Linked DNA regions of Arabidopsis thaliana. The protein of the gene in region 3 interacts with the protein of the main gene of each other region in a pairwise test. Each region holds a gene or a part of one and is shown on either strand. Other genes may lie near its edges.

Region 1 (6,913 bases), on a different chromosome or scaffold from region 3:
GGATAAGTAGAGAATCTTCGAAAACCGTTTAACGAAACGATGAACTGAGAAGCTGAATCTTGAACTATATACAGATGGTTCAGAACGGAGAAGGAAAGTGCCCAAGGAAGACTTTGTCAAACATTGAAGAGAAGACAATCTCAGTGGACGAGAACACAACAATGGTAAAAGCAAAATACAAAAATATCTTTGATCTTTAAAATTTACAGTAATATCTAACATTCTCATATTTTTGCTTGAAGAAATCTGATTCCTTTGCGGTGAGTTTCTCTCTTTTGTCAATAATAAAGGTTACTTCTTTAGCTCTCTCTTTCTCTGTATGACTGATTTTGAAAATCCTATTGGCAGAAGAACAAATTCGATGCAGAGAACACAAAATTCATACCGATGATTGACAAAACTGTGAATGCTTCTACATGGCCTACAAATCTCCACAAGTCAAACTATCCTGAACCTGAAGGTACACTACATTGAAACATTGACACTACACTAAATTTATTCGTGTTTTCACGTTTTGAAAACATGATTCTTTTTTTTATTACCATTCCAAACATTCATCATAGTTTCATGTCTTTGAAAAGAGATTCTGCTATTATACTATACCGCTACACTCTTCAACAAGAATACCACTTATTACCTAAATGTGTTCTTGCCGTCGCAGATTTATACTCTGCCGTGAAGCCATCGCAGAGGAGAGGAGGAGAAGGTTATTTATTCGGGGGAGTGATGTCTTTGGTGATGGGGTTAATGACTGTGGTGAGGCTAACGAAGAACATGCCAAGGAAGCTCACTGAGGCTGCCATTTACGGTGGTGAAGTGGACAAAGCAGAGACTACAATGGTGTCAAACCAAGAGTATATGTCGATGGTGAAGAGAATGGCCGAGTTGGAGGAGAAATGTAGGTCTTTGGACAATCAGCCTGCAGCGTTCTCGCCAGAGAAAGAACAGATTCTCACCGCTGCTCTCAGCCGTGTCGACGAGCTAGAGCTTCAGTTGGCTCAGACCAAAAAGGTACAAAGTTAAACAGCCTCCATAACTAGTTTCTTATTTTAGAGTTTAGAAGTTTGAATTTAGACTATTTTGTTCATTTATAAAAGTTAAAAGCTATTTTAATTCTTTTGATCTAAAATTTAGACCATTTTCATAATCCTGTTATAAATCAATTTTATTTTGTTGAAAATTCAGACGCTGGAGGAAACCATGGCAACGCAGCATGTGATAATGGCTTATATCGACAAGAAGAAAAAGAAGAAGAAGGTAACAACAAACTAACACATTTTAAAACACTCTTTTTCAAGATTTATTCGTACTTGATTTTGTTTACGTATTTATATGTTTTTTTTGTTTTTGTTTTCAGTTCTTTGGATTCTGAAAGACTTGATAATGCCTCAAGACTTTGAAGAAACCTGGAAAAATATATATAAATCCATATTTATTATATATATAAACATAAATATTATTCGTGAAGAGTTTTTACAGATAAAAATGTGGGAAATTTTCTTTCTGTAAATGTTTTGTTGTTTGTCCCTCTGGAAATATCTGAAAGCTTATGTTTACCACTTATCAATTCTTTCACACCTAATTTGTAACGTACCAAAAACAAAAATATATATGTTATAATATTATATAAAAAGCTATTGTTCATATATATATAAATCAACAATGTTGTAAAACAACTTAGAATTTCAACAAAAACCGGTTAATTGCAAGCAAAGATAAGCAATTCTCGGGTTTTGTGTTACTCTGTAGTTGGTTTCTCTATGGATTCTTCACTATCTTGGAGCTTGAAAACACGGAAAATTGCTAGATTTGTATCTCCTGCAAGTCACACAAAGAGTTTAACCTCATTGATCGGTCCATCACATTCACAGAGAGAGAGATGGAAAATCATGCGAAAAGATTGGTGTACCAAAGGTGATTCGTGTTCCGGGAAAGGCAGGAGCAGCAACACCAGGAATTAGACGTTTGTCTTCGATGAATGTACCGTTGGTGCTGTTCATATCCGTCACAAGAAGGTTCTTTTCATTCGTATTGATTGTCGCATGGACTCCTGACACTGAGGTTAAAAGACTAGGAGTGTTGGATTCTGATCCAAACTAAAGCAATAAACCATCTACAATCGAAAATCTAGTACCGAATCCGAACCTAAACCCGAAACCAAAACTATATCAAATTGATTCATATTAAAACCAAATTCACTTTGATTACAAATTCAAGAAAACCGAAAACCACAAGAACAGAGAAATACCGGTGGCAACAGGAATCACGACGTCAGCCTTTTCCGGTAGCCGTCCGATGGTAACTTGGCCCTGCTCAATACCCATTTTTGTGATCTTAGCAAAAACTAAAAACTCATCAAAATCAATCAATCTAGTGGAATGTATAGTTTCTTACAGAGGAGATCTCAAAAGGAGCAGGCATTGCCACTTTGTAACCAATGTGTCTTGTGTCTCCATCGCCTATAAGTTTTCAGGCAAAAAGACTTTCAAGACTCAAAAAGATTAAAGAAGCTCATTGATATTAAACCTAGAGAAACAAAAAAATAGCCTCTGACCAACTGGTTTGAGAAGCCACCGTTCTCCTCCGGAAGTTGGGGATTGATTCTCATCCAAGGAGGCGCGTGTTGTTCTCACCACCGGTGCATGACTTCTTGGTTTCTTCGCAATGAAGCTAATATTACTGATCTGCTCATTCTCTCTCAAGCAGTTTACTGAAACAGCTCCATTTAGGTTGTTTCTATTACTGTTTCCATAGAAACAGAAAAGTGATGATGATGATGATGATGATGAAAACTTAACTCGAGAGCACAATTGGGATATTGTTATCTCCATTTTCTCTTCATAAAAACTGATTGATCTTACAAAAACAAAATATGAAGTAAAGAAAAATGCAAAAACTTTTGAGATACGTTAAGAGATAATCACTATATGGGATATGTGGCTACAATATCTTGTATCTGGATAAAAACAAAATCCTAAAAAAAAACAGAATCCTGATTAATAATTTCGATACTCTTTTTTCGTTTTGCATTAACAAGTTTACAGTTACAGATTTTTTTATGATTATAAAAATAAAACATATAATATAAAGTGGCTCATAATCACAGAAGGAAACAGAGCTCTCTGTATTAGCTTTAACATCAAATCAGATATAAGAGTTTTTGTTTTGTTTTGTTGTTTATACTTAAGAACAGCGAATTACGAAAGAGGGAGATTTTGATGCCTGGTGCTGGTTTTTCTTGGCTTTGCTTCAGAAGCAAAAGAGATGTTTCTTCTTCTTCTTCTTCATCTTCTGGAACTGAGCTTCTTCTTGACGATCAATGTAAGCAAGTAACTCTTCCTGTCTCATCAAAGCTTCGTAAAGGGCCTTTTTAGTAGCTATGAGCTCTGCTTCAAGTGCGTCTACTCTGCAGACGGCTGCGTTTAACAGTTCTTCTTTCTCGTATGGCATCTCATTTGGCTTTGATTGGAGCGTTCCGATTTTACCTTCCAGCTCTGTCAGTTTCTTCGTCACACAGTTTAGTAGATCAGTTTCCGTGAGGTCTGGTACAGGAGAAGGAGGACGACACTCCTCTTTAACTCCTTCACCGTTAGAACCAAGTTCTATTGCGTTTCCTTGGGTTTCTGCTGGGGAAGAAGTAGTAGTCGCTGGAAGTTTCTTTGTTACAGTGCGGAAGAATGTGAAAACCGCCATCAAGAATGCCATGAACATTACTAGGACTCGAGCCTTGATGCCTTCATGATCTTTTGGAACGGTGGGAGACATTAAAGCTCCTGAAGGAAACAGATAAGAGTTAAGATCACCAAACAAAGAAAGACCAAAAAAACTCTGTTTTTATAACCAACTCCAAAACAATCCTAATAAGAAAATAAATCCTATGTAAACAAGGATTAGGTTAAATTCTTTTCCTTCAGTATTTGGTTCTAAACCGGAGCCTACTGGTACGTAAAGCATATAGCAGCTAACTAACTAACCTCTTGAGGCAACTCTCTGGATGGCGGGTTTCACCTTCCAGGTGGCGTCAACGGCTTTGTCCACCATAGGTACATACTCGTCATAACCCGGAAAACTACCAGCCAAGCTTGTTTCACCAGCTATCTTTGCCTGCAAAGCCTCAGGATAAACATCTACTACTTCCCCAACTAGAAGATAGAAAGAAAGAGAAAAAAGTTACCTCCTCACGAACAGGTGTCAAGCGGAGATGAGAGAAACTCTTTATAGCCTTCGGAGAACCGATATCTTCAGCGTCAGATCCTGACTCTGCAGTGGATGTGTCACTTCCCTTTATCTATGTTTATGACAGAGCAGAGTTTAGGCACAATATGGTCAGCCACAAGTTAAAGATTGACTAGTTATAGGATTTAATAACTACGTACCCATGTATATGAAGGTTTTGCATAAGCAATGACTTTCCCTTCGCTGTTCAACACTTTCACCACCTGCCTCGCTCGATGTGCTCCTCCATGAAGCACCATCTGAAATAATGAGAAGAAAACCAAATGTCTCAGATTCCAACTTGGATGATACAAATAGAATCCAAAAAGAGATTAGTCTAAGTAAATGACCTTCACAATTTCCGGGTTTTTCCAAGGTCCCTTGTCAGAAAGCATGCAACCGCCTTGATCTGCGCAAGTACATGCACCTCCCAAGAACTCAGGCAACTCGCTATAAAAAAGTGCAGACCATTTTGAACATAAGCAAAAACAAAAAAACGTGCAGCTTTCGATAGAACAGATCAAATAAGGGTGGGTCAAGGTTCACATACTTGACATCAATGACTTCAAGCAATTTGCTTAGATACTTGTATCCGAGTACCTACATAAACAATAGAATAGTCCATATTGAATTCTATATAATCAAAGACAAGACTTTTAAATAGAGATATAACTTAGATCTCTCATACATGAATTTTAGCAGATGTCTTAGGGTCAAGAAAGCTCTTGACAGTGTTCCAGAGTAGCCTAAATCCAGGCCCTGCATTGATAATAAACATTTGGTGGAGAGTCTGCATGAAATACCACAAAGCCAAGATTAGCATTTGATACCTGAGATCAAGTATTAGAAGCTCCAATTAACTAATACCTCAGGATAATTGTCTCCATCAATCTTTTGTAATCGTGTGATAAGATCTCGAGCAGACTTGTTAAAGTTTTTCAATCCCTGAATATGAAGTTATATAAACACATGAGAAAAAAACTCATTTCACAACTAATATCATGAACTGTAGAAAATACTTACCACTCCTTGAACATCAAGAATAGTTGTACTTGAATCAATATGCCTCTTTGCAGAAATAGTGCAGGAAGGAAACTTGATCATAAAGCTCCTCTCAAACTCCTTTACATGATATCTTACATATCGATCCATGCTTGTAACTTGCATGAGTCTGTTAGGATCAACTTTCCCTAGCCTTTCAATGTAAATAGGTCTACCTTCTTTGTCAACACCGTGATAACATTGTGGGTAATGTTTCAAAACTTCATTAATCTCTTCGAAATCAAAATCCTAACGAGAGAAATAAAACGTTACAAAAACAGACAACAATGGTTTAAACTACTATCTTCTATTTAATAGCATACCTGAATAATAGTGTCAGTACCAAACTCTTTCCTCCATTGAATCATATCAGCCCACATTTGTTTAGCTTTCTCAACATCAAATTTCCTCGCTTTCAAGAACCTCAACATCATATGATAATCATCGTGTCTATCAGGAAGCAACTCGTCCATTAACAACGACTGTCGAAACGCATCAACAGCTTGTAGCTCCTCGACATCCCTCACATCCTCAATGGATACAGAACTCACTCGACCATCACTTTTTCTTCTTCCGCTCTTTTTCTTAAGAGAATGCTTGAACTTAGTAGAGGCATTAATGGCTTTCTTTTTCAAGGAACCGATTCTTGTTCTCCTCTCATCCTCTGAATTCTCAAAATCTGACTTTCTTTCCTTTTTCTCATCACTGCTCAAGAATCCCTCAAAACCTGTAGTGAAAGCTGTTTTGATTTGATGAGACACATTAAAAATTATCTAAAGCAATACACATTATTTAACCAGCTCAACAACATATATTGAAGACACGAGAAAGCAAAGAGACACAATTTTTAGATTCTCATTATTATATTAGACACAATTCCAAGTTTAAGCTACAGTAAACCTAGAAAAAAGCTAACCCAGAAGCAAGAACATTACAAAGAAGATTGAGATCTCTTACATGGTCTTGCAAATCGATCAAGTGGACCTGACATGTTAAATTCCTTTCGACTAAATATCGAAAAAATATTGTGATTCTTTGGATCTTTCCCAAATCTTTCGAGAAGATGGCTGATCCACGAATCCAAAAAAAAAAAAAAAAAAAACCTTTTTTTCTTGTTGAGAATCTATCTACTTCTCACATTTACATGAAACCCAGAAAAATCGCTAAAAAAATTTGAAGGAGAGAGAGAGAGAGAAAGGGGAAACAAATTGAGAGACAAAAGTGGGATTAGAATTCGGACCGAACTTTCTCAGTTTCTTCTCACCTAAACTGCCTCTCGAATTTAATTATTTTTTAATAGTAGTAGATTTTTGTTATAGAGAAGTTTGTATTTGCACCGCTATTTAATGAGACCCCAACTGTTACATTCGTTTTTATCTGTGAGCCCCACACTTTATTTTCTTTCAATCTACCCCCCAAATTGACGGTGGTACAGTATTTTGTGTCAGGAATTTTTAATGTTTTGGAAATTAAATTACACCTAGAACAAAAATATCATGTTACTTTCATTCTTCATATTATAGTGTGTGACAAAACAAAAAATATGAAAGTCTCCCACATTTAGTGAATAATGTGTGATATCGAGTATTGCATTTGATATATATTAAAACTTGGTTTACGGAAATTGAGGTTAATTCTGTCACTAGAACTAGTTTTT
Region 2 (6,792 bases), on a different chromosome or scaffold from region 3:
ACCAGCATCTTCTCCTAAACTGCTCCATCTCTCAGCACTCTAAGAAAACACATGTAATTTCTTTACACAAATGGGTCACAGAGAAGAAACAAAATGACTCAAAACAACAATGTTGCAACATCCAAAACAGATACAATAGTGGACTATACCTGACAAGCTAAATCACGGGCATTTTTGCCAAGGGAAAAGCCCAAGGATCTGAGACCAGCGCTCATCGGATAGCCACATTTGGAACAAGAATCCTCACTACTTTTTTCAGATAATAAGTTGTAACAACAGCCAATGCTCACTAATGCTTTAACTTCTTCACACTCCATAAAAGTCCTGACGAAATCAAGTTGCATATTGGTTCAGCTTTCACGGGCTAACACAGCAATCAGGACCAATACTGTATTCAGAAGATAACAGATATCGCAAATGAATAATTGCAGCAAACATTTTAACTAACCTTAGCATTGTAACTGATAGATCTCCACATGCATGAAGGCCAGCAAGAACAAGTGAACACGATCTGTTTGCATCACTTGATGATTGTGATCTGCTTTGACCTTCTTCATTCAATGCACTTCCACTAGAATCCGTCTCATCCTTCTCCAGATGAACATCAGTCAAGGCCTTCAACATTTCTGTGGATAAAACACGGCATGTAATCGTCATTGGAACATCTGGGCACTTGTTTCCTGAACTAACAGAGAAGAGGTTAAGTAGCATTCACAAGTCTAAAATACCAGAACTGTGCACAAAGAATTAGGAAAACAATGAGCGACTCTTCAAGCTAAAAATGGAAAGAGACATCTGATACTTGGTAAAGGTTTGAAATAAACTTATAATGAGCTAACCCCTTACCCAGATTTACGCATCTGTGCTGCAAAATGCTTTTTTATGCGTGCTGCGCGTGCATCTGTTACCTTTCCATGATGAGAGGAAGAATCGATTGCAACCACTGAGTGCTTATATTGGAAAGAGAGAACCTGCGCTAGATAACCCTGGACAAAACATTTACCAATGATGTTATTTAACACACTTTAGGAAAGCTATAATATACTACAAAGTTACTAAAACTCTGATATGAAAGAAAAACCATCACTCGAAATATTCCTTAAACAGCCAAAAAGAGAATTCACCAATGCAGACGAGAAAAAGGAACCATGCAATTAAGATTGATAGTTAAACAAGAGAAAGGGATTGAAGATACCTGGCCAGCACCGACATCAACAACAGTAGGAGCTCCAACACTCTTAACAACTGAGCTAACAACAGAGGAAAGAACTTCAACCTGCATGATACCATAATAAGTGACCTACAGATCCATTCAAATGAAGTGGCCAGTATAAGATACATTTGACAAATACCTTACGTTTAAACAAACATAAGTTTTGTACTAAGAAACTTTTATATAAAATGCTATGAGCTGTTAATGATCCTCAATTTCATGTTTTACGCGTGAAGTGGCAGATAACTTTGCCAGAATTTGATGGTAAAAAGACTTGAACAGCTACAAAAAAAATATATACTCTCTTTTGAATTTAAGGTTCTTGGATTGGGATTAGTCACCAGATGCAATCTACTGAAATTCCTACCAAAACAAGACATCATTGAAAGACACGACTTGCACCTCTGGATAGTGAAGTGTGAAGATAAAAATGTACCTCATGTTTTTTCTTAAGATTCATGCCCTGTGAAAGAACGGTGCTAAGAGGTACCATATCCACGTCTGCGAGTATCTGCCAACAGTCGAAAATGATTAAACTTTATTTAGTCTAGGATCTAAAAATACTAATCCTGAAACAGCACAAACAGGTAAAGAGAATACAATACCGCCTGTAAATCCGCTTGCTCTCGAGGAAACGATAGAGACCTCAACGTGTGAACAAATTTCTTTAGTGAAGCAGGCCAGTGATCCTATAATCAAATACTATAATCAATCATCTCCTTTCCAAACTAAAATAAAAATCTACCCTTTCTATCAAATATCTCAATCATGAAGACTGAGACCAGAACTTTACCTGGACACCACCGGAGGGAATAAGAAGAATATTTTCCGGCTTCTCATCCTTTAAGCAACTCATCCATTCCTCATTAACAGCTTCCCATTGCTTATCCTGGAATACAAACCCATCAATCAACTCATAACCCAACTCGAAGCTGAATTTAAAATTGTTTCCGATAATCGATCATACCTTGAAGAAATTGACAACGTGAGCATTGATTAGGAAAGAAAACGGTTTAAGGAAATCGATAATGGCTGTGATCCATTCTAGGGTTTCGGCTCTCGTTTTGCAAGAAAACTTATTGCTCTTCATTATCCCGATGACCTGAGTAGCAGCAACGATTCTAGTTTCCGCCGCCAAAAGCCAACCAAACAGCAAACACTTGCTTTTAACCGTCAAAATGTTTTCTAAAAATACCTCGTAAATTTTAATTTATTCAATTTAGCCCACATTTATTTATTCTGTTGTCAATACACCCATATTGTCACGTGGCCGAGTCTTCAAGAGACTCTAACTGCACCGGAAGGTTTTGACTCATGCCCCCTCCTACACTTCCTCTCATTCTCTTGTATTAACACTCTACTTCACCAAATACAATTATCACAAAAATGATAGCAATACACAGTAAATCTTTTAAACCATGTTCCAAAGAATGTAGCAGAAAGCAAATACTAGTATTCGTAATATTTAAACTAAACAACTGGTTACATAAATCCAACATGAAAACTGACTACTTAAACTTAAAGCAACTTAAAGTAGACCCAAATTTTAGTTACTGATGTTTGTCTTGATCGTCGCCGTCTTCTTCTTCTTCACCGTTTTCATAGTCATCAACCTCTACTGCGACTTGAGGGAAGTCTCTATATTCGCTACACATGTTATGACCATATATGATAACATAAAAGGTCCTGTCGCGGTCATAGATGAACTGCAAATACTTGCCATCTTCGAGATTGTTATCTTTTACAAAATTCTCCCAACCAACTGTAAGAAACACTTTCTCTCCTCTTTTCTTCATCCTAACCGTCCAAGATCTCCCACTATAGTCCAGGAGGTCCACAGTTATTGGAAATGGTGCTGGGAAGTATTCGTTGAATCCCAAGGGGATTTCCTAATCAAACATTTATATATAAAAAAACAACTCTCAGGAGACATTCCAAGAGCAGCAACGTAGAAACAATGGACTTGCTATTTTTCACTTTTCAGCCCCGCAGAAATGTTTGGTTCAAGCAGCCTATAACAACACCAACACATAAACTTCATTCTAAATCTAGCAAGATTCAGTAAGCTTTCATTTGCTTTTTGCTAATTTAAAGCTAACAAAAGCAATTAAAGGACCTAAGTTATTAGCTCCATGAAAATGAACTAAAGCAATTTACCCTAAACCATAAGTCTCCAAATCAGAACACTAAACACATATTTTGAACTTGTTGAAATAAGAAAATAAAAAAGAAGAAAGATAGAGAGCCATGCTCACCAATGATTTAGATGACTTTTCTGAGATGAAAGGCTTCATAAATTGAACCTCACCAGTGTCAGCCATGGAATAGAGTGAGACCAAATGTAGCTACAAGCAAAATCCAGAAATTGAAATGAAGAAAACAAAGAGAAGTGAAAGAGAGAAACCTTGAAAACAAACACTTTTTGTAATGCAGAAACAGAGAGAGAGCTTCAATGGTCCCGAGTGGACTATTTCAATTTTCTCTGTAAATCAAAAAGATGAAATGAGGAATTGATGTCATAGTCAAACAACTTGCCACCTTTTGACCAATCACTGCTTTTCTATTCTACAAGGCCACACCATACAAAAAGTACAAAACCAAACTCTTATTACTATTGGGCCAAATTATACAGCCCAATAGCCCAATAACGAGCTGAGACAAATCCTATCGACCTAGAAGATCCAACTTAAAACCCTAGAGTTCTCTCCACTATTTAAAGACCTCAAATCTTTTGATGTACGACTCAGAATTCTTCGAAACAGCGTCTGCTCTAGAAATTCAGTGTTTTCTCGAAGCTTCATTACTATTTTCTAGGGAAAAATTTAGAAGTTATTTTGTCTATTGTGTTGTGTTTTCTTAGATTTAAAGTCGATGTTTTACTCTTAATAAAGAGGAGAGAGCGGTGATAATGATGATGAAAGATGATTCCATAGAACAATCCAACTCTGACCATCATTGATGATCTTACCATCATGCACTACCATCTGAATCTCGCTCTCCCTTAAATCCTTTTCTTTTAGTATGAAATCGTTGATTTTGTTTTCTCAGAATCGGATTTTGTCGGATCTTTTAGTTTTGTCTCAATTTGCCTTAAATCGATTGAGAAAAATTCATCATTGGTTGATTTGGTTCTAAGTATTTCATACCAAAGTTCTGATTGTTATTTCTGTTGTTAAATTGATTTGGTATTTTTTTCTTCGTTTGCGTTCATAAGTCATAATGCAGATTTAACTCATATCAACAGGTTGATATTCAATAGCAAAAATTTGGCCTGAAAGAAGGAAAAGTAATCCCCTCAGAATTCAATTCTCATGGACTAAATTAATCTAGAAACGTAATTGTAACAATTGTCTAGAACTATTTTGATGGTAGTTATTCCGAAAACGATTAGTTCTGCAACATGAACACTCATCTTAATTAATCACTTTCGCAGATAATCGCAAAATAAGTTATAAATCCATAAAATTATGAAAGATATTCTGATTTGTGTCGATGAGGTTCACACAGATGTGGTATTTGAGGATGACTTTTAGAAAAGGATTTTATTTCATTGGAACTCAGAAAATAATGTAAACTGGGCCTATTTAGTTAGCCGATGACCAAATTTTCTTTAATGTCAGTCAAAAGCCCGTTAAGTAAAAACCTTCAACATAATTGGTGCTTTCACTTTTTCCATCAGTGGACGGGCCCAAAGCCTGCTTTTCTGATTTACCTGTCTTTTTAATAGGTTGATTAACGTCTCTTACCCTTTACGAGAGCCCATAACGGCTAGTTTATTCTCTGCGATCAGACGTGTCATCATCGTGGCGGCCCAGTTACATCGTCTGCTCTATTTTCCGGCTACAGAAATTGAAATTTTGTTTTAATTTGAACCCCAAGGTTTTGAGAATCATTAATTTCTTCCCACTGTTTCTACATTGTCCATAAATATCCACGTTTATAAATTTAACAACTTTACAGGAAGAAAGAGGAATCAAATCTTACGTTGTGAAGTCTTTAATAAGCATGGGGCATTTAGATAGATCTTAAATTTATGGGGAGATAACAGAAATTTGGAAAACTAGGGTATCAGTGAAAAATGGTCAAAATCAGAATCAATTTGCAATACTTAAAATTATTAGGGATTTTTCTATCCACTATGTATAAATAAATCGCAAATTGGCAACTAGCCGTTACGATCTCTCTATCTCTCTCTCTTTTAAAAATTCAAAAACTTAGGAACTTTTTACATTCACAATCTTGCAGATTCTTGCATATTTTCTTTCCTTTAACGAGCGCAAAAAATCTGAGATTTGTTAAATAACCCATTCTGATTTCCGGAGTGATTTTCATTCATGGCGTCTTCTCCAGCAAAGAACAAGATCTCTGTTTCTCCTTCTTCTCTATTCTCTTCCTCTTCGCCTTCAATGCCTTCCAGACCAAACCCTAAGCAAAGAAACTCGGAAACCGGAGATCTGATGCGTCGCAGTTTCCGAGGCAATCCATTTTCGGCAGATCCGTCCCGGAGAAACTCAATCGGTAGAGAATGCAGTAATCGTGTTGAGATTGGTGATAAAGAGAATCAGAACGACAAGGATCAAATCGCTAATGTCGTCAAAGGTCCAACAAAAGGTTCCAAGCATTTCATGTCACCGACAATTTCAGCCGTTTCCAAGATCAATCCATCGCCGAGGAAGAAGATCTTGTCTGATAAAAACGAAGTGTCTCGATCCTTTGACAAATCCCATCACCAGGTTCAGGTAAAGTCGTCTGTCTCGTTTTCTGATGTGATAAGCATCATTGGGGAAGATAAAGATGTAGACCAGATTTGCATCGATGAAACTAAGCAGCTTCGTGAAGAGGAATCACATGATATTACTGTCAGTGATTTCGATGAGATTCTTGAGAGGAAGAGTAATGATAATTCAAGCTTCAAGATCAGTCCTCTTCCTCCTTATGTTCCATGCACATTTCCTGTGTTTGAGTCTCATGAAGTGGATCCAGTGGTGGCACCTTATGATCCAAAGAAGAATTACTTGTCACCGAGGCCTCAGTTTCTCCATTATAAGCCAAATCCAAAAATTGAGCATCGTTCTGATGAGTGCAAGCAGCTTGAGGAGCTTTTCATCTCTGAAAGCTCTTCTTCTGACACTGATTTGTCTGCAGAACGAGAGGAGGAAGGTCAACAAGAGGAGGAAGTTGCTTCTCAGGAAGGTGTAGTTGCAGTAGAAGAACAAGAAGATGATGGTGAAGAGCGTTTGGAAGCCGCAGAGGAAATTCTGGATGTTGATGGTGAAGAGCGTTTGGAAGCTGTAGAGAGTGATGATGAAGAAGAAGAAGTAGTAGTTGGCGAAAGCATTGAAGAAGAAGAAACTCATCAGATTTCAAAACAGTCTCGTTTCAGCAAGACATCCATGTTGCTTGGTTGGATTTTGGCTCTTGGTGTGGCGTATCTGTTGTTGGTTTCTTCAACGACGTTTTCTCAACAAACCATCACAGATTCACCTTTCTATCAGTTTAACATCTCTCCAGAGATCATAATGTCTGCTAGCGAGAACTTTGAGCAGTTGGGTGCAAAGCTGAGGATGTGGGCAGAATCA
Region 3 (9,182 bases):
TGGTAACGTGAGAGCCATGAAGTCGTCTAATTATTTGGAAGAACATAAAGTTTGAAAATTCATATAATCTTGAAAAGAAAGCATGACGTTGCCAAGTTACTATTCTCGTCGGTGTAATTGCTATCTCTTTTCTACATGATCGGACGGTATATATGCTTCCTTTTGTCCCTTCCATCCAAATTTTGATTTATTGTGTAAACATATATATCTTTCAGTTGATTTTTTCATTATCATGACATCTGTCAACACTCTCTACTTTACATTATATCACCTCAGTCACACACCACTCTTTTCTTGATTAATTCCCTATGGTACTCATATGAAAATGTTAAAATTAAGCAAAATAAACACACACAAAAAACAAAATAATGTGTATTATCACATGAAAAAGCGTCACAATTCGATTCAGTTTCTTTTGGTGTTTTTATTTCTCCTATGATGGATACATGTGTTGAAAACTGTATCAGCTTCAGAAGAACATGCTATAAATATAAAGGCTAGCCTTATAATTTAGGGTTTGTAACTTCGGAATTAACAATAATAGAGTAATTAAGAAAATTAGGCGTGAAAAATAGTGGTCCACTTTTTTTACAGCAGCCTCTATACTATAACTTTGATACCACCCTTCGTTTCTAGTGTGGGGGATTTTCAATAACCCATGAGCACCCGATCTATCAACTTAGTTATATCTTGCCATTTTTCAACATACAACAGCAAAACTGTTTTGGTTGAGTTTTGCGAGTTTGTTATGTGATTCACGTTTGTTTTAGTGAAATTTTGGGTTAAAGTAAGTCGAGTGGATTATATAAGTAGATTTTGTCGCATCTAATAACTCAGTTGATATATCAGCTTAGAAAGACTATACGCGTCTCTGCATGTGCATGAGCATGAGCATGAGCATGGCATTTGGAGGAACCATGACTCCACTTCCTTGGGACCCACATGAACCAAATCACTCTCTATGTTTTTTCTTTCTTCCTTTATTCAATGATGCAATCTTCTCTTGAGCAATGAGAAACATATAATCATTAATATACATAAATGTAAAGGGGGCCTTTGAAGGTGAAATGGGATCCATATGGAACACATAGTTTATGAAATCTATTTCTGAAAACGGATATGTAGTATATAAAAAAGTGTACATTTCATTTAAGTTTTACCCAACTTTGCAGCTTCTCAAGAGATTTTGTGGTGAAAGACAGTCTTTGTTTATTATTTTGTGAAGAGATACAGAATACACATAAATTACTATTGAGTAAAGGAGGATGCAAGGGGGAAAAAAGTTGCAAGAATCTCTAAGCTCCGTTATTGGCTCCAAAGAAAAGAAACATAACCCACCAAATCTTTTATGTCCTTTTTCAGTTTCAAAGTTGAAGAGAAAAGGAGAGATTTAAAAGAGTGTAGAAGAGCAATGAATGGGTGAAAGTGAAAAAAACAAATCAGTGCGTGCTTCTTTTGTAGTAAACACTCTTCTCTTTCTGCCTATGTAAGAAAAATATATATTAAGAAGTGATTTTCTCTTTATTGGTAATAATGTGTAATTGTGTACAAGTGATATTTAGAAGCCAACAAACACTATGCTCCAAACTTACTTTTCTTTATTCTCTAGTTTATAAAGTTCTTTCCACATTTCCATGTTTTCTTATTGATAATGGGCATAACATACATTCTAAATCTCCAAAAGATGGTACCGGGGTCAAGTAGAATGGTAGATGACTAGATGCGTTTGAAGTGCAGATATTTGGCAGAAAAGGTAGTGGAAACAATTTCAACGTTTTTAGAAAAATTGCTAGGACATGAAATGGAAGGTTAAATAGTTAAGAAAATGTTAGTAACTTTACCTAAATTTGTATAAATTATGACACTGAAAACTTAAAGAAAAGAAGAACACAGTGCTCGAGAAGATACTTTAAACCTTTTCTTTTGGAAAAAAAAGACTATTCTATTTGTACTAATTTCAAGATTCAAACTCCAAAATAAAAGAAATTTAATAGTTTTGGCTCATGGTGAGTCTTTCATTATGCGAGTTTGTTGCTATTTGCAAAGATAATCGATGTTACCAATACATTTGGAATTTATGGATTTGTAATTTAGTTATATACAAGAATAAAATCCGAGAGAATGTCACTGTCCCTTTTGCCCACTCCCTCTCTTAATTTCTCGGTCCTAAATGATTGCATATATTCATCGAACTCTATCCCCAATTTTCTTCTCCTCTATTTCAGTCACTCATAATTTTTGCATTCAACAAAGTACAAACCCTCACATACATTAAGATTGTCATAACAAGAAAACCATTAAAACATCCAAATTGATTTCTGAAATTTACAGCTTCTAGATCAAATTTAAAGTTGTCTTTTATACTCTATTTCATAGATACACATTAACATTGTTTACAATACGGTGAAGAGGTTGGATAGATGATTTTGCTGATTGTTTATGTCAACAATAACTTTCATCCATTTCATAAATACATGTATTTTTTACAACCTCACTTTCATTAAATGTATTCTCTCTTTTACACAACAGTGGGTATTTCCACTAGGAAATGACTATAGTGCCCCTCTTCTTATTAGTCAACTCTCCATATCCTTTTGGAAAAATCCATGAACTATCTTCAGTTTTTTACTTTGTCTGTAGTTTGATATTCTGAAACAACTGAAATTCGTTAAAATTTGGAATGATTAATTGGTCAATTAAATTAAGATTCATGGGGTATAGGTATACGGGACAATTGATATACATCAGTGTATGTATTGTATACATAATTAAATATTTTAATACTATCAGGTGTTCATTATTAAAGTTTGTATATATAATGATAAAAATAACAGAGTAGTAATTTGCTTCCTTGGAAACATGGATAAGCAACTGTTTTCCAGCTGCGAACTTTAGGCACTTAATTTTAAAGTCACAGGTATACACTACGCAACCAAAGCAAGATTTCGCTAATAATAATTAAAATTGCATCGAATCTAACTAAAGAATCTAAAAATACAAGTATACCCAGTCCCCAACGTTGTGTAGGACGATATATGATTATAAAGTTTTAGTTTAGATATTACATAACTATAGATTTCTCATAAATAAAGAAATCTTCCGTTCATTTCACTAAAATATCGTTCGAACAAATAATACACAGATTAATATCTAAACGTAAATCATATAAACAAATAGTGTAGGATTTAATTATAGTAGCATTTTGGCAAACACAAACAGACAAACAAAGGAAGAGGCAGCGTGTTTTCCGGTAGAGAAAAGACGGAGAGAGTAAAAGCCGAAGTTGTAAACGTGGCAACATATTGACCGCAGGATCTAAAACACGTGATGATCAACGGTAAGATATATCTTGTCCGAGAAGTGTTTTGTGATATTAATTGGTGTAAGGAAAATCTGGAAAACAAACAAAAAAGAAAAGAGAGACAGAGAATTTAATAAGAGAGGAAGAGTATTAAGGTGATGGCGGCGTTGCAGAGCGCGAGACAGAGAAAGAAACCTCTCTGAGATACATCTCTCTCTCTCTCTCTATCCCCTCTTAAATACACTCCATACCGACAAACCAACTTTTTTCTCAGTACTAAAAGAAACCTCTATTCGATTTCTAAACAAACCCTAGATATAGACTACTCTACATTCTTCCATTAAGTTAATCTCTTTCGTCTTCTTCTTCTTCATCCTCTCATAATTAAAGATCTCTATCAAGAGAGAGATCTTTTATTGTCTTCTTCTGTTAAAATCTTTTGATAGATCTTCACTCTCTGAAAGTCAAGATCTTAGTCTAGGCAAGTAAATATGTGGTAAAGCAAAGCCCTTCTTGAAATTGGTCATATATGGCTGGTGGTATCGGAAAATGGCAGGATTTTTCTCGTTAGGACACGGCGGAGGAGGAAACACTCCAGACAACCACAGAACAAACACTAATAATCCTTCTTCATCGGGAACAGAATCTTGGCTTTGGTGCAGAAACCCTAACTCTAACGCTGACGGTGGAGAAGCTGGTCCTTCTTACAAAGGAACCCTTGAGCTATGGCAACACCCAAACAATCAAGAAATCATTTTCCAGCAGCAGCAGCAACAGCAACAAAGGCTGGATCTTTACACTTCCGCTGCGGGTTTAGGTGTTGGACCGAGCAACCGGAGCTTAATTGAAACTTCCGGCGGTGCGTTGATGATGATGAGAAGCGGTAGCGGTAGCGGCGGACCAAGCTGCCAGGATTGTGGGAATCAATCTAAGAAAGACTGCTCTCACATGAGATGTAGGACTTGCTGCAAGAGCCGTGGCCTTGACTGTCCCACTCACGTGAAGAGCACGTGGGTTCCTGCCGCTAAACGCCGAGAACGCCAGCAGCAGCTTTCTACCGGTCAGCAACCGCAGCAACTGGGAGGGAGCGTCCCTAAACGACAGAGAGAGCGTATCCCGGCGAGATCGACTTCCATGGCCTACACTCGTATACCTTCTAACAACACTTCAGGTATTTCATAATATCTCTTTATGGTTATTCACCCCTGAATGAAAATTAAAGTAATGAGCTTTGAATAACTTGAGTTATTAGTTTCAATTGCAGAAACAGAAACCCTATTTTGATCAGCTTTTTTTGTTCTTCTTTTTTCATTTTCAAGAAAAAAAAAAGGTGAACGATTTTCTTCTTCCTATTTTTTTTTTTTAATATGGAAATACTGTAGATCAGTAAGACTGACTCTTGGAATGACAGGAAGAAACTGTTCTCACTGATCTTGATATTTGTGTTTATATCCTGTAATTATTAAGTTTTTGTTTATTTGTTTGTTAATGCTGTAATTATTAATTTGAGTTAAGATAAAAACAAACAAACAAATCATACGTTGAAAATACTCCTACGATTTTTTCTTATAATTAACAATAATTAATTAAATGTTTTCTATCTAGGGTTGGAGGTTGGGAATTTTCCGCCGGAAGTTAGCTCGTCGGCAGTTTTTCGGTGCGTGCGTGTGAGTTCCGTAGATGATGAAGAAGAAGAGTATGCATATAAAACAGCTGTGAGTATAGGCGGTCACGTCTTCAAAGGTGTTCTCTACGATCAAGGCCCGGCCGAGAGAAGCTCCTCGGGCGGTGGATCTCAGCCGTTGAATCTCATAACCGCAGGCCCATCGGCCTCATCATCAAGCCCAAACGTGAGCTGCAACAATGGAGTCGTTGGCTCCACTTCAGATCATTATATCGATCCTGCCTCACTTAATTATCCTACTCCCATTAACACTTTCATGACTGGTACGCACTTCTTCTCCAACTCAAGATCTTGAATTCCACACAGAGAGAGTACAACAAATCATAACTTTTTTTTAGATTCTTACGGTAGAATTAGGGTTTTAAAACATCTTCGGAGGTGAAGATTATAACGTACTAATCTTGGTTTTCAAAAGTAATTAACTAAGGGAGATAATGTTCTATTAAAACAATTGTTACCTGATCTTTTATTATTAAGTTCAAATTTTGTAGGTATAATGTTAATGTAATAGTATACTCCAATTTTCAACTGTTACAAAAGTCAACGACCCTGTCTCTGTGAAAGCTCACATCAAAAGCAAGATTTGCAGCTGGCAGTTTTCAACTGTGATCGTTAAACTCAGCCTTGTTTTATTGTCAGCTTTTCACATTACTCTTTTTTTAGGTTTACTTTAACATTAATTTACCTTTCAAATTACTACTTTAGGTCAATTAATTGCAATTATGATTTGCCTGTAGAAATATTAATGTGAAAAACAAGGTTACAAAATTGAAATTTGGGTGAAGACATGTATTTAGGTGTCTTGTGCTTTTGGTCAACAAATCAGACACACTAGCACAGGTATATCGTTCGTCTACGACTACTATATATCCGGCAATATGCCATACCCTAATCTTAAGTTTTATTCAGTTTGAGCCGTTTTTAAAGTGATGCTCTCATTCCTATGATTGATATAATGTCAGTACACTTACATTTGAAGAGAGACTTACTGCCACATCCGACTCTTTACATTATTTTTTATATATATATATCCTGATAGCCAGTTTCTCCATATTTCTATCTTACATAGTTTTCACATCGTACGTTACGGTGTATTTTTTAGCCACATCTGAAGGGGCTTTACTATACAAATCTCAAATGCAATCCCCAAAATCTGACAAGCAGTGAGACTGTATGTGTATTTTGATTCTTTTGTTACAACGAGTGAGGCTGTAAATTCGGCAGATTATGAGTGAGTGGGGGAACAGAAAAAGGTGTAAAATTGGTATGCATCTTTATTTCTGCAGGTGTTTATGTTTGGACCTAAAAAAACTCTTCTTTCCCAATTCATTTCTTAGGCTCTCTTTTTCATTATTCAATTTACGTCACCTCAAGAAAGCCATGATGATAACGAGATGCAAAAAGAATCGGAAAACGAGCTAACATTATAATAACTCATTAGGATTAAAATTTAATTAAGTGTTGCATGGAGTTGTGAAGACTTGTAAAAAAGATGCACACAAATCATGCATTTTGTGATTTACATTTATATCATTCTATAATTGAATTGGTCCCATTAAACCTTAAACAGCTAATCCCACCTTGCTTATGCTGATTTGTCCCCGATTATTTCCTCCGTACTACTCGCACCATGTCTTCGAAATTTCTCTTTTGGAAAACCTAAGTTGCTTTTTATTTTCTTGGTCAAGCAAGACTCAAGAGTTTGATGTTGTTGCACGTAGAAAGGATCTTGAAGACGGATGTCGGATGGTGATAAAAGCAGCAACTTTAAACTCCGAACGCAAGTGGGGCCTTAGGAAATTTCACTGTGAACCAATAAGAGAGTAACACGTCTGAGGGACAATTTGCAATTCCATCATTGCATTTCAAGGGGACAAAACAGAAGCCTCAGGTCCACAGCATCAAGCTTTCCAAACCGAATTTTTAATTTGAGTGTCGCAGGCTCGCTGCATAAAGAGAAGACGACACTGTAGTCCTCAGTGACCAAATAATGAAGTAGCCCAAAACTAAGCCATGCTGTTGCTGGGTAAAACAAAACTACTAAGCCCTAGAGGTATGGGCCTCTGTTTTTCTCTCTCCATGAGACTCACGAGCAAATCACATAACTAACTTTGGATACATTCGACTCTGTTCCTGATCCACTCTTCTCTCCCCTGTTTGTCTTTCTCCATTATCTCTTCTTCCGGAGACTGGAAAGATGGCATTGGGCAACAAACGCACTTCGTCGACGATTTCAATAGTAATCTGGATAAGCATAAATCACAGCTTAGAGGAAAATAGAAGGTCAGAGAAGAGAGTATCGTGATCGATGTAAGCACTAGTTTCTGCTTTGTAATTGTGCATCTTTCTAACTATTATAGGGATGGTCTTTGAGTTCAAGATTAACAAAGAAACAGTGAGACAATTATTCGTTAAGAACAACATACCGACGAAAAGCAAGGACGACAACAAATTCAGATGGTGCCAATAGATTATGTTAGTACCTTTTGTTTTACCAATCTCTGCATAGTCTTAGTGACCCGTTAGGATGATTTAGTGTCCCACATGGCTTAGGTTTAGAGTTTTAGACACCTAACGCTAATGAGTGATCCTATCATATATGAACATTTTCGTCGTCTTCCATAGATTTAAAGTTAGTTAGAGCCAATGATTTGGAACCTTTGCTTGCAACAGCTGCACATTCATTAACCCATCAACCTTGCTTCCTGTAAGGCTATAATTACTTCTTCTATCTATGTCATCAACCAAGACTAGTTTAGATTTTGACAACTTCTGGTCAAATGGGTACGTCACATATGGGAGAAAATGAAATAAATTGTAAAGTTTATTAGTCAATTTATGACATGTGAATTGGTAATATGTCAAATAATCCTAAATCAAGAGTTGTTCTGCTTTGGAATCTCAACAGAATCTAAAACTCATAACCTCTGAGTTATGGTGGATGGGGATAGGGCCAACCACACCTCACTGTACAGATGTTGTTGTCTTCACGCATATGTCTGATGGACAATGACACACATGATATAAATTTACACTATCTATTTTAATATCTCAATCTCTCTATATATAAATTCCTCTGTCTTTCAAGTTTCAGAGCAACTTTCTGTAGATCTATCACACGCCTTGACCCTCTCATCCAACGGTCATTATTCACTCCAAACCCACTCTGCTTCTTCTTCTTCCAAACATCTCTCAGCAGAGCTAACCATCTCTCTTTTGTAATGGCTTCACTTATTTCCCTTGTTCTTCTTCTTTTGCTCACTTTATCTTCAGCAGAGTCCAAGACTTTCTGGGGTGACGTGGCAGCTCTCAAAGACTTCAAGAACTCAGTGGATGCCAAATCCATGAGTCCAGGCTCTTGCCTGAGTTCTTGGGATTTCTCCGTCGATCCCTGCGACAATATATTCAGCGACACATTCACTTGTGGGTTCCGCTGCGACTCCGTCGTTACCGGATCGGGTCGGGTCACGGAGCTCAGTCTGGACCAAGCCGGTTACTCAGGCTCCCTCTCCTCCGTCTCTTTCAACCTTCCTTATCTCCAGACCCTCGATCTCTCCGGCAACTACTTCTCCGGTCCACTTCCCGACTCGCTCTCCAATCTCACCCGTCTCACCCGCCTCACTGTGTCCGGAAACTCCTTTTCCGGATCCATACCCGATTCAGTCGGGTCAATGACGGTTCTTGAGGAGCTCGTGCTAGACAGCAACCGCCTCTACGGCTCCATTCCGGCGAGCTTCAATGGCCTTTCCAGCCTGAAACGACTGGAAATCCAGCTAAACAACATCTCCGGCGAATTCCCTGATCTGAGCTCACTCAAAAACCTGTATTACCTCGACGCGAGCGATAACCGCATCTCCGGTCGGATCCCATCATTTTTACCCGAATCTATAGTCCAAATCTCAATGCGAAACAACCTCTTCCAAGGAACGATCCCTGAAAGCTTCAAACTTCTAAATTCTCTCGAAGTAATCGATCTTAGCCACAACAAACTCAGTGGCTCAATCCCATCGTTTATCTTCACTCATCAGTCTCTACAGCAGCTAACACTCTCCTTCAATGGCTTCACCTCTTTAGAGTCACCCTACTATTCTCCCTTGGGTCTCCCCAGCGAGCTCATATCCGTAGATCTCAGCAACAATCAGATCCTCGGTGCGTTACCTCTGTTCATGGGTCTATCACCAAAGCTCTCAGCATTGT

The links.
Region 1: the proteins of SHI (region 3) and AT2G21530 interact in a two-hybrid assay, tested with the Arabidopsis thaliana proteins (one large-scale study listed by BioGRID).
Region 2: the proteins of SHI (region 3) and AT1G16640 interact in a two-hybrid assay, tested with the Arabidopsis thaliana proteins (one large-scale study listed by BioGRID).

What each region holds. Positions count from the first base shown.
Region 1 is NC_003071.7:9,215,290-9,222,202, reverse strand, and holds AT2G21530 (SMAD/FHA domain-containing protein), read right to left. Parts: upstream 2,952-6,913; 5' UTR 2,832-2,951; coding exon 2,555-2,831; intron 2,460-2,554; coding exon 2,395-2,459; intron 2,310-2,394; coding exon 2,249-2,309; intron 2,057-2,248; coding exon 1,910-2,056; intron 1,819-1,909; coding exon 1,739-1,818; 3' UTR 1,595-1,738; downstream 1-1,594. Other genes in the region: SFH3 (SEC14-like 3), read left to right, coding at 75-164, 243-260, 349-460, 662-1,011, 1,186-1,257, 1,358-1,372; AT2G21520 (Sec14p-like phosphatidylinositol transfer family protein), read right to left, coding at 3,250-3,773, 3,975-4,104, 4,175-4,288, 4,377-4,475, 4,566-4,665, 4,766-4,815, 4,904-5,005, 5,083-5,160 and 3 more.
Region 2 is NC_003070.9:5,683,505-5,690,296, reverse strand, and holds AT1G16640 (AP2/B3-like transcriptional factor family protein), read right to left. Parts: upstream 3,773-6,792; 5' UTR 3,535-3,772; coding exon 3,469-3,534; intron 3,103-3,468; coding exon 2,764-3,102; 3' UTR 2,570-2,763; downstream 1-2,569. Other genes in the region: AT1G16650 (S-adenosyl-L-methionine-dependent methyltransferases superfamily protein), read right to left, coding at 1-39, 150-324, 449-685, 847-986, 1,196-1,300, 1,650-1,724, 1,819-1,902, 2,007-2,102 and 1 more; AT1G16630 (uncharacterized protein), read left to right, coding at 5,548-6,792.
Region 3 is NC_003076.8:26,500,812-26,509,993, reverse strand, and holds SHI (Lateral root primordium (LRP) protein-like protein), read left to right. Parts: upstream 1-3,184; 5' UTR 3,185-3,850; coding exon 3,851-4,472; intron 4,473-4,906; coding exon 4,907-5,248; coding exon of another isoform or gene 5,249-5,280; exon of another isoform or gene 5,281-5,476; coding exon of another isoform or gene 5,477-5,493; exon of another isoform or gene 5,494-6,053; intron 6,054-6,655; exon of another isoform or gene 6,656-6,706; coding exon 6,707-6,738; 3' UTR 6,739-6,840; downstream 6,841-9,182. Other genes in the region: AT5G66340 (uncharacterized protein), read right to left, coding at 6,841-6,952, 7,096-7,229, 7,469-7,492; AT5G66330 (Leucine-rich repeat (LRR) family protein), read left to right, coding at 8,207-9,182. UniProt on the Arabidopsis thaliana protein: Transcription activator that binds DNA on 5'-ACTCTAC-3' and promotes auxin homeostasis-regulating gene expression (e.g. YUC genes), as well as genes affecting stamen development, cell expansion and timing of flowering.